Astyanax mexicanus: one gene and its partners. The protein of the gene in region 1 purifies or fractionates together with the protein of each later gene. This does not show direct contact. Links are inferred from orthologs where the notes say so. Each region holds a gene or a part of one and is shown on either strand. Other genes may lie near its edges.

What was found.
Region 2: the proteins of sf3b6 (region 1) and ccdc97 purify together in Homo sapiens (affinity purification with mass spectrometry; 3 studies listed by BioGRID and IntAct, counting the BioPlex papers as one, with this or other methods). This does not show direct contact. The link is inferred for Astyanax mexicanus from reciprocal best matches to the Homo sapiens genes SF3B6 and CCDC97.
Region 3: the proteins of sf3b6 (region 1) and phf5a purify together in Homo sapiens (affinity purification with mass spectrometry; 4 studies listed by BioGRID and IntAct, with this or other methods). This does not show direct contact. The link is inferred for Astyanax mexicanus from reciprocal best matches to the Homo sapiens genes SF3B6 and PHF5A.

What each region holds. Positions count from the first base shown.
Region 1 is NC_064408.1:59,525,138-59,528,896, reverse strand, and holds the start of sf3b6 (splicing factor 3B subunit 6), read left to right. Parts: upstream 1-1,275; 5' UTR 1,276-1,436; coding exon 1,437-1,466; intron 1,467-2,305; coding exon 2,306-2,424; intron 2,425-3,759.
Region 2 is NC_064410.1:53,972,475-53,976,233, reverse strand, and holds the start of ccdc97 (coiled-coil domain-containing protein 97), read right to left. Parts: upstream 2,633-3,759; 5' UTR 2,449-2,632; intron 2,326-2,448; 5' UTR 2,285-2,325; intron 2,065-2,284; 5' UTR 2,004-2,064; intron 708-2,003; 5' UTR 642-707; coding exon 468-641; intron 1-467. UniProt on the Homo sapiens protein: May play a role pre-mRNA splicing through the association with the splicing factor SF3B complex which is involved in branch-site recognition.
Region 3 is NC_064422.1:23,507,421-23,511,179, forward strand, and holds the start of phf5a (PHD finger-like domain-containing protein 5A), read left to right. Parts: upstream 1-1,440; 5' UTR 1,441-1,538; coding exon 1,539-1,590; intron 1,591-2,160; coding exon 2,161-2,184; intron 2,185-2,896; coding exon 2,897-3,063; intron 3,064-3,759.

The DNA of each region.
Region 1 (3,759 bases):
ATCGCCTATAGTATAAGTGACTCCTACGTCTACAATTACGCTTTTTTCATAGATAACTCCATGTTTTCTGACAGAGGAGGGTCTGATGAATTAATTTCACTATGGGTTTATGCTGACACAATGTATAGTTTAGGCAGCAGACTGATACAACTATGCCCACCCTGTATTCATATCATTTAATGGGATATAACCATGTATCGCCTATAGTGTGATGACTCCTTCATCTACAATTACGCTTTTTTCATAGATAACTCCATGTTTTCTGACAGAGGAGGGTCTGATGAATTAATTTCACTATGGGTTTATGTTGACACAATGTATAGTTTAGGCTGCAGACTGATACAACTATGCCCTTTCTGTATTAAGATAATTTAATGGCATGTATCGCCTATAGTATAAGTGACACCTACGTCTACAATTACGCTTTTTTCATAGATAACTCCATGTTTTCTGACAGAGGAGGGTTTGATGAATTAATTTCACTATGGGTTTATGCTGACACAATGTATAGTTTAGGCTGCAGACTGATACAACTATGCCCACCCTGTATTCATATCATTTAATGGGATATAACCATGTATCGCCTATAGTGTGATGACTCCTACATCTACAATTACGCTTTTTTGATAGTAAACTCCATGTTTTCTGACAGAGGAGGGTCTGCTGAATTAATTTCACTATGGGTTTATGTTGACGCAATGTATAGTTTAGGCTGCAGACTGATATTGATTATTATTATTATTATTATCATTATTATTATTATTATTATTATTATTATTATTATTATTATTATAGATCGGTTTGTAAGAACCATGTCAGTGCTTTCACAGTTGTAAAAAAGATAACAACCATACCTCTTACTGCCATCTAGGGGTAAATGTCTCTTCTGACCCAGCATGTGTAAATATGGAATATATGGTTGAGGTATAAAAAATGTTTTATACTGTTTTGCCAAATTCTCTCCCTGATTCATTTCACACTAATATTACTGTTTAAAGTTAAGGCTAGTGTTTAAATAATAGTTTTAAATCACTCAAATTTGTAACAGAAATGGTTACATATAAACCAGAGACGTCACTAAAGCAATGGATAACCCTCCAGATCGGTAAAACTATATTTAATTGTGTAATATATTCAAAAGCTTCATTGCTTTTATTTTGAAATGGAAACTCAGGAGGAGCACGAAAAACGAAACACTTCCGGGTATAATTCGTTGCTTATTTGTTTTTTTTTGTGTTGTTTTTTTTTCCTTTATTCGTTGCTTATTGTTGCTCACTTAACGCAGCTGCATTCGTGTATGTGTCGGCTACACGGAAGTGCGTCATCGTGCGCCTGAAGTCAGTGCGTAGTGTGGGAGTTGGTGAGGAGCTCGCTGAGAGTTCAGAGTATCTGTTTAGTTCAGTGTAAAAGCGGAACATTAATCAGGATTTTCGATCATGGCGATGCAAGCAGCGAAACGCGCGAACGTAAGTCTTGTTTATTTATTTCGTTTCCCTGTATTTACTCTTTAAACCGAGGCCCGGTGTGAGCAGGCCTCTTTGTATCGAGGAAGCCGTTAGCCTGTTGGAGCTAAAGCCACAGCAGAGTTTCACACTCATCACACACACTAAAACACACTGTATAGACTCCGTCTTACTGTACAACACTAGTGAATGATCAGGTCCTCATTCAGCTCAAACGGGCTAGAACTGTATTAAAGACTATGGGGTAAGAAACACTAACCAACCTAGCTTAGCTTAGCCGCTCGCCCTGACCGAGACAGTTAGCTAACACGGTATCTAAGCTAACCAAGCTAGCTGGCTAGATAAACACTCGCTCTTGTTTGGGGAGTTTTCATTCACGCGGTTTAAACTAGTAAAACTTTGTAGCGTTAGTTAGCTGAACGTAGATAAAAACACGACCAACTTACAGGCTGGCTAAGCTAACTAGCTAGTGTGTTTTGTCTTCTAATCATGCTGGACATTTCCTACAGTATCTAGCTGGCTTTTTATCCACAACTGCGGAGCTTCTTTCTCGTTAATAGAAAACCCAAATAGCACCACTAAACACTCGTGTACTTTACAAAACCAAGTTTAAATAAGAAACCTCAGTCGGTTCTGATGAAGTGTTAATGTGAGCGTTCTCTTTTAAAGCTGTTATTAATATAGGAGAGTGAAATTTCTCAATGTCTGGTCTAAAGTCCCAAATCTTTCAACAGTGTGACAAATCCCATGTTTTATTGTAACGTGTGAAAATCAAGACTTTTAATGTTGTTATTGAAACTGAGCATTAAGCAGAACATCTTTGTTTTGTTTTTTTCTCCCAGATTCGCTTGCCTCCGGAGGTGAATAGGATATTGTACATACGTAACCTTCCTTATAAAATCACAGCAGAAGAAATGTATGACATATTTGGAAAATACGGCCCCATCCGGCAAATCAGAGTGTAAGTACTGATCAATGTCCTATTTTTTTTAGTTAGCAGGCCAATTGTTTATTTGGTATACGGAGCCATTTGGACTAAAGGGTTGATGATTAACTGATGTGTTGAATCAGAGATGTTGAATCACGTGTTTGAGCAGACTAAGCACTAAACTGAGTAGGATTCTGGCTGTTCAGGACCAGTTGTGCACCCCAGATTTAAATGATCTTATATGAGAAGACTAATGTGAGTAGTTAACATAATTGTTACAATAAATTATCTATACTTTGCAGCACCTTTTTTCTACTTCACTCTCATGACATTACATGCCGTTTGCCTGTTTTGCTGCTTCTTACATCAATGCTTCGTTGTTTAGTTCAAAATATCCATAGCTAGTTTGTAGAGACTAGGATCAAGAAATACTTAAAGCTTGATGATGTTTAAAGAACATTAAACATTAACCCTAGATGATTATTTTAAAGATTAGTTTAAGAAGTCTTTGAAAAGATGAGTCTTTAGTTGGCGTTTAAAGATCATGAGTGACTCTGCTACACAAATACAGTCATAAAACTACAATGACTACACACAGAACTAGATTTCAGATTCTGTTACGAATGTATAATTCTCTGTTTAGATTTAGAATTTTTTGACAAACAATTGCAAAAACTGAGTGAGGGGAAATCGCTATTTCTGCAAATATAAAACCTGCTTAGGGGGGCACAATGTGATAAAGTTACAAGGTAGTAGAAGTATTGGATAAGTATGAGACTGGTGCTTTGCTCCGACTCCAGTGGATAATAATGAAGAATCTTTGTGTTTTACACATATTTTCTGCCCAGGAAATGATGTGCCAACATGGTACTTTGTCAGATATATATTTTTATGTTTACTTGTGTTCTAACAGTGCCCCCTGCTGAAGAAATGTCAGATTGCAACAAACTAAATCTGAATCGATCTGAATTGTTAAAAGCCCCATCTAGACAGGATTTGTTTCTCAGGGGGTCCTCTGTGATATTTTATACCCGTCCGGAAAGACCATGTTTGTGTTTTCCTCAGACGTCTTCTGAGAAAATTACAGGCTGAACTACCTACTGTTTGTCACTGAACTCTGTGGTCGTCCGGTAATTTTAGTCCCATCCGGATGGACATCTCTTGAGTTTTGTCACCTCACATTTAATAAAATGGCTATTTGTTCACTGCCACGCACTGTAATTACAATTTGGGTGCGCGTTTCCTTGGAGATCCATGTAAACACAACAATGAGTGGGAATGGAGGAGCTACTGAACGCGATGTCATGTGACCGAGAAAGCAAAAAAAAAAAAAAAACCCTCACTGGTCCCCTTTTTTCCATTGCAGTC
Region 2 (3,759 bases), on another chromosome or scaffold:
TTTTGGTGTTAAAATGTGCAGGACAGTTTACCTGTCACACTTATTACACTATCATACAATATGTACCCATGGCCTCATAACTTTTTGCTGACCTGGAACAGGGTTAAGGACCACTGCTGTTGTAGAATGTGGTTTGACTCCCCACCCAAGCAAGCACACTATACTACACCAATCCACTATACTCCAACCAACAGTCACTGAGCAACTCTAACTCTATATTCTCCACCCAGTGTAACATGAATTACATGCAAGTGACTCTGGATAAGCGTGTCAAGCGTGACAACTGCCTAAAAACAAATGTAAAGAAAGCAATTTACATTCTACTCATTACCTATTCATGTCAAGATAGACATTTTATTTAATTTTACATAAAATATTCAACAAAACTTTGTTGTTACTTAAATCTACTAACCTACAAATAATACTTCCTTAAAAAAAATATCAGAATATACTTATAGTTCACTTACCGGTCCCTTGGGTGCTGTAGACTGAGCACAAACCACAGCAGCACTCTGCATCATGTCGTCACCCTCATCTTCATCCTCCTCCTCCTCTTCCTCCTGGTCATCCCTCAGCGGCTGATCGTTTTCAAAAGTCTCTGGACTCTGTGGTCTGAAGCTTGGCTCTATCTCACCCCACATTTCTGCTCACTGAAGTGTTTAATATCGCTGTATGTTTAGGCTGGGATTATCAGAGAGTCAGGAACACTGTAAATAACCAAACACAAACAAAGCCAAAACTTTTAAAAGGGCATGATTGCTTTATGCTATTGTATTGTTATTCTGTCAGTTTTTTGTCCAGCATTTAATGCTCTATTAATGCTCTAATTATATCATTTATATATACTCTTTAAAATGGTTCTGAACTATTTTTCATTAAAATAATTACGTAAAGTATAGATAACCGAAATTTCTACTTAGTTAAGGTAACAAAGTATTTTTACTTCATTAATTGACACCTCTGATTATAAAATTACTGCAAAACCTTTTAACCATATTTCCTCATATTTATTATTCAACATGCATTTTTCTTCTTAGATGAATAACTGAAATTTGTTATATTAATTGGGCAGGCACAGTAATAATATTTTTATTTACAATGTTGATTTTTTTAATGAATAAAACAAATGAAAATTACTCCATTACCTTACTTAAGCACACATTTTACTCCAGCAAAGGTTTTACTTTACTGGAGTACATTTTTTACTTCTACGTCTAACATTTTTACACAATTATCTGAACTTTCTACTCCTTACATTTTAAAAATAGCCTCCTTACTCCTATTGCATTTCAGCACGTTTTCATTCCGGCTTCTCATCGTTCAATAAAACCCCTATCCAAATAAACCTCTCCATCCAGATAGAGCGAATCTGATTGTGGTTGGATGAGAAGTATAAACATTTACCATTCTGACACCCTATTGGTTTATACTGTGATCCATCACACCTGCACACATCACACCCCCAACACACACTCCAGCAAGAACATAGCAGAGAACTCTAGACAAACGTCCAACCAAGCCTTTTTGATATATTTATATTCTACTAAAATACATTTATTTACATTAAGCATATATGCAGGTGAAACAGGGTGCATCCCAAATGTATCAATATTAACATTTTAATAAAACATTATAGCCACTATTGCTTTTAGAAAAAATGTTTTTTGGGGAGTATATATAGTAGTGCACTATAGGACTCTGTGGTGTTGCCTTGTCCTTAATTGCTTTAGTTTTTTCCCCTTACATTACTTTTACTTTTATAATCTTATTGAAACTTCTTTTAAAACTACTTAGAAAGTTATTTTACACTTTTATTTATAGAGTAAAAATCTTAAGTTCATACTTTAACCACTACAGAAATATTTTAAACTCAGCAGCTATACTTCTAATTACTTAGTAATGAATAGGAAATATGTTTTACATCTTTATTTATAATTGTATCTGTGGTAATGAAACAGCGTTGTCAACTGGCAGAGGGATATAAAACATAAGCTATAACTTACCTTAGACTTAGACTTTAACTTCCTCGTAAATGTGTTTAAATTATTTTCAGATATGACGTCCCTAAATAAAGAAATTACATTAGACTGACTCTTATTAGTGTTTTCTTGTAGTTATCAATCCTTAATTAGTTCAATTATGTGTACTCTTTCAGCCATGCAAGTGAACTAGACATAATAAAAGAATACCAGCATACATACTAATAAAATGTACATATTTCAGCTGTCTTGAAGGTTTCAAACATTAAAATAATATTTTACAAGAAAATAATTGTATAACAGACCCACAGTGGACGGTTTACTGAACGTTTCCCAACCTAGGCACCTGAAGACAACATGCACAGTTAGTTAGCTTAGCGTTTTCACAGCGTTTGCTATCTTAACGTTTTCCAGGCGTTTTCAGAAAGACCCGTCCTATAAATGTACACAGAAAATGTGTATAAAATACCTGTATTATATCAGCGCTGGTAAAACCATCTCCTCTGTTTCAGCTACATTAATAAAGCTGATATTATACAGTAAACGCTCTTACTGTTTAGATACGTTCTGACACAGCTGTCTGCCTGTGCGCCCTGATTAATCTTCCCCCTCACCAGCCTCACTGCACTCAGCGGTTCCGCTTCAACTGTACCGCATTCAGCTTCCACTAGATGGAGATAAAACCACGAGAAAAAAACACTGATAATGAGTAGCTGCTATGAACCTACCTCATATTACATAGATACATATAATACATATATATATATATATATATTTAAACCAATTTTAGGAAACACATACAAAACATATGGCAGTTGTTTTGGGATCAGTGTAACCCAGGGGTCACCAACATGGTGCCCGCGGGCACCAGGTAGCCCGCAAGGACCTTATGAGTAGCCCGCAGACCTGGTCTAAAAATAGCATTTTTGTTGCTATTCTTTTTTTTTTTAAATCAGTTGCATTGGTGTAATTTTAGATTATATTAGATTAATATTAGCTTAGAGATAGCCTATAGTTTATATATTATACAATATAATGTAATATATGTAATATTATATTAAAATATAATATAATATAAAATGTAAACAATTGCAGAGATTTATAAAAATAGTGTTGCATATTGATATGTGTCTTCACATAGATGAATGTCATTAATTATTAATAATAACATATAATTAAAGGTAAATTGAGAAAAGTTGTAATTTCATGAGTGTGTATCAAACTGGTAGCCCTTCGCATTAATTGGTACCCAAGAAGTAGCTCTCAGGTTCAAAAAGGTTGGTGACCCCTGGTGTAACCTTTATCATTAAATAAAATATATATTATTTTTCATTTAATAAAGCAGAAGAAATGCATTTTCAATTATATTTTTATTGTTAAGTTTTTCATGTTTGGAAATCTTAAATTCAGGAAACATGAAAATAAATGATGAAAAGTTTTCTGATTCTTATTTTTATTTAGCATTTTCTTGCATTTAATATCGGATGGTGTAATACAACCAACTTATTTACCAGAATAAAAAATAGAAATGTATTTATTCTGATTTTGAGGGGCAGAAATAAACCTGTTTCAATGCCTAACAGACAAAGTTATATAATGTAAAATAAAGTTTTACACCCAATTTCCTATGTTCTTATTTAGCCATAGAATGTTACACTGTCCTTATTGATATTTAAAAATGAACAATCCTTTGAGAGGGCATCTTATTATACAGTCGAGCAAGAGAACCAACCAGAAATCTTACTTCTAATTTAACATTTTGAAAATACTGATTGTAAAA
Region 3 (3,759 bases), on another chromosome or scaffold:
AATATAATATGTCACATAAATTAAACCCATACTATTATAAATCATTCATAAAACTGATAATAATATCACAGACATTAATACGAGAATCAACTTTACACATTTTAATAAAACATTAGACATTTGTTTATAAAAAGTTGAAGTTCATGTTCACTCAAACATTTTGCAGCCACATAAAAGAAAGCCATTACCAGGGAAATAAACTTAAAAGTGTTACTTGTAATTACACTACAGGTTTCCCTGGTGGAGTTCAGAATAGGGAGGTACTTGGACGTTAACCCATTATGGGCATAAATAAAAAGCTTCATGAAAAATACACACATGTTTTAGAATTAAGTTACAACAGAAATTCCAAATGGGATTCTTTTATCTTTTATTCTTTTAATTACGAAGTCACATAATTTATGAACATTTTGGGGATGGACAACAGTTTTAGTGGCTAATATTTTTTTTTTATCTAGATTATAGCAATGGATAAATACGAAATGTATTTCACTAAAGAAAATGTACCACAACAATAGAAGAAACAAGTTTTTACCCTATAAACTATATACCCCCAATAAAGCCAGAGAAGTGCATTTTAAAGGACTTTCCTTCGTTTATACGTAACAACCTATTAAAATAATTTAATAATTTATTGAAGTGACATGTATTTTTTTATGAAATCTCAGTTTTATACCTATACTCCGCACACCTGCTCCGGTGTCTTGCTGTCCTCCTCATCGGTGTTTGTGAATTGTGCTGCAGTCACGTGCGCTTCTCAGAAATAGAAGTCGTTCCACGACTTGGCCGCGTTTCATATGGTTTGTGTATGAAACAAAAATAGATTTTTTTATATATTTTTTAAGCTTAATCAAATATATATAGTGATTGTAGATGTTTAAAAAGTGTGTTGCTATTAGAATATCGGACAAAAAAAAAAAAAAATGTTTGATATTTTGTTTACTTGAGGTGGGCATTCCGGGTCGAGTAAGTAAAACTCCAGCCCAGGTTTTTGTACTAACTCCGCTGCAGCAGAGCCACTCAGGTAGTTGGTACAAACTCCTGGGCTGGATTTTTACATTCTGGACCTGGGTTACTCACCGCCATTGTTAACATGCTTAATGACGCTGAAAAGCGTTTATGCCACAACTCGTTCATTTTGTCCTGCATCAAAAATGTCAGTGTGAATGAGGAGGATCCCGCTTCGAAGGGAAATTCGTTTTTCCGATAAAACTGGCTCCACACGAATGCAGAGGTATAAGTTACCCCAAACTGACCACTAAACAAGGTTAGTCCTAGACTGGCGCTAATGTTATTTATTAACTATACAAAAAATGGCGACTGTTTTTAAACACCTCGATATTTACACACATTTGAAGAATGGTTTATATCTACAATACGGCAATACAAGGATTAACTAACCTCTAAATTCGGTATTCAACTGGTTTTATAACGCGTCAGTGGACCCGCCGGGCCTGCGGGTGGCGCTGTGAGCAGAGCCGCGATGGTAAAAGTGAATGGGTTCCGCCGCTGTAGTCCACACTGTGTGCTAACCCGCGATGGCTAAACATCATCCAGATCTAATCTTCTGTAGGAAACAGGCCGGTGTCGGTAAGAAAGACAAAAAAATTAGAAAGTACTGATTTTGTTTTAACGAGTTTTGGAATTCCGTAATCATTATTTTAGTCCTAACAGGCGAATAGATGTATTAACTAGCTGCCATCTGCCAACGTTACGCTAGCGTAGCCAGGCTCGCTGCTGTAGATCCAGAACAGGCGAACGAGCTCCACTGTGTTTAAAGAGGGAAATATAGTTTATTTCACGTAATAAAGTACATTTTATACTTTTGTTTATTATAAATATTGACCTACTTTTACAGAACAGCACTGCGGATAAGCTGTTGACGCCTTTCTATGGCATTTTTTGAAAACAAAAAACTTTAACTCTGAGCTTACAACAATAATTGTGATTGTCTGTGATGGTCTCTAAACTAAATTAAATCTCCCCTCTACTATCGTGTGAATATTTGCTAGCTGGTTAATTTATTTCGGCTGGTAACCTATTTTACAAAATCAGGTAGTTGTCTATTTAAGTAGTCTTTGTTTATTTTACATTTATCAGTTCGTGTGTACTATTGTCTTGTAAATTACTAACTCCTTATTTGTGTTTTTATCTTTATAGCTATCGGGAGGCTGTGTGAAAAATGTAAGTTTTTGGAGTATCTATTACTTTGAACATTTTATGTGTATTATATATTTTGGCAAAAGAGAATCATGTAGCTTCATGCAGTCAGTTTGTGGAGATCGTTATATTTTGTATTTCATCTTCTGTGTCTGTGTAGCCAGTACACCAGTGCAGATAATACTTCACTCTTTGTGAGCATTTAAGGTTTCACACTGATAGTAAAGGTCTTACTTGAAACGTGTGTTCCGTTTTGATTTCTCATAATGCCACGAAGTGTCCACCAATATCAGTTATACTGATGTTTACATTAACAGTTGTTGGGAGATGCTAGTATTTTCCATGACCACTTAAAGTTTAATAATATTACTGAGAAAAGGAAATGTAAACTTTGTGTACTGTGGTGGTCTTATTTGAGCAGGGAAGCAAATGTTTGCCCTCTGAAGGGTAGAAGTATTGCCCACTATCCTACACCAACCACTGACATTGAATTGTTTTTAGTAATAAGCATGTCTAGACAGTAGAGGATTAGTAGTGTAGGGGAACTATCATGGTTATTAGTTTTTGTTTCACAAGGTGTAGCTTGTGTTGGTCAAGTTTGTGCATAAGATTTACGTTTGACCTTCGGCAATGAAGCTTTAACAAAAGTACTGAGAAACTGTGTATTCTTTCATATCATGCTTATGTCAAAGTTATATTTAACAACCATGACTATGTTCTTTCTTTTCCTCTTCAGGTGATGGGAAATGTGTTATCTGTGATTCCTATGTCAGACCTTGCACACTTGTGCGCATTTGTGATGAGTGTAATTACGGGTCCTACCAAGGGCGCTGTGTGATTTGCGGAGGCCCAGGGGTGTCAGACGCGTACTATTGCAAAGAATGCACCATTCAGGAGAAAGACGTGAGTGATTATTATATATATATATATACTGGGTGAGTGTGCCAGGAAGAGGGGTGTTTTGAACATGCCAATCAGTTAACAGTATGATCTGTTCAAACTATATCAGATAGACCAAATATACCCAAACTAAGGAAAAAAAAATAATTATATATATATATATATATATATATATATATATATATATATATATATATATATATATATATATATATATATTATTTTTTTTTCCTTAGTTTGGGTATATTTGGTCTATCTGATATAGTTTGAACAGATCATACTGTTAACTGATTGGCATGTTCAAAACACCCCTCTTCCTGGCACACTCACCCAGCATGTTACTTGTTGGAGGATAAACAGTGAAGACTAAAACGTTACAGAAGGCATAGCAAAGTATATAATGAATTCTAAGTGTGTTTATGAAAAGCCCATGGCTCTTTCCTGAAGAAAATGTGATAAAGAGACATTTATTTGAGTTTTACTGTGTTTCTGTTTTTGCAATATATTTATTTTTATGTAAATTATTACAGCTGCTATATTTTGTAAAAAATGAATGCCATTGCAATAGCAAAACTTGGCAAAGGGCTTTTAATTTGAAACAAGGCACGCAAGAAGTTTGATTGGGGAGATAAATAAGATCGGAGAGGAAATGTAGATAATGTTAATTTAGATTTTACATTTGAAAAGATAATTTGCAAT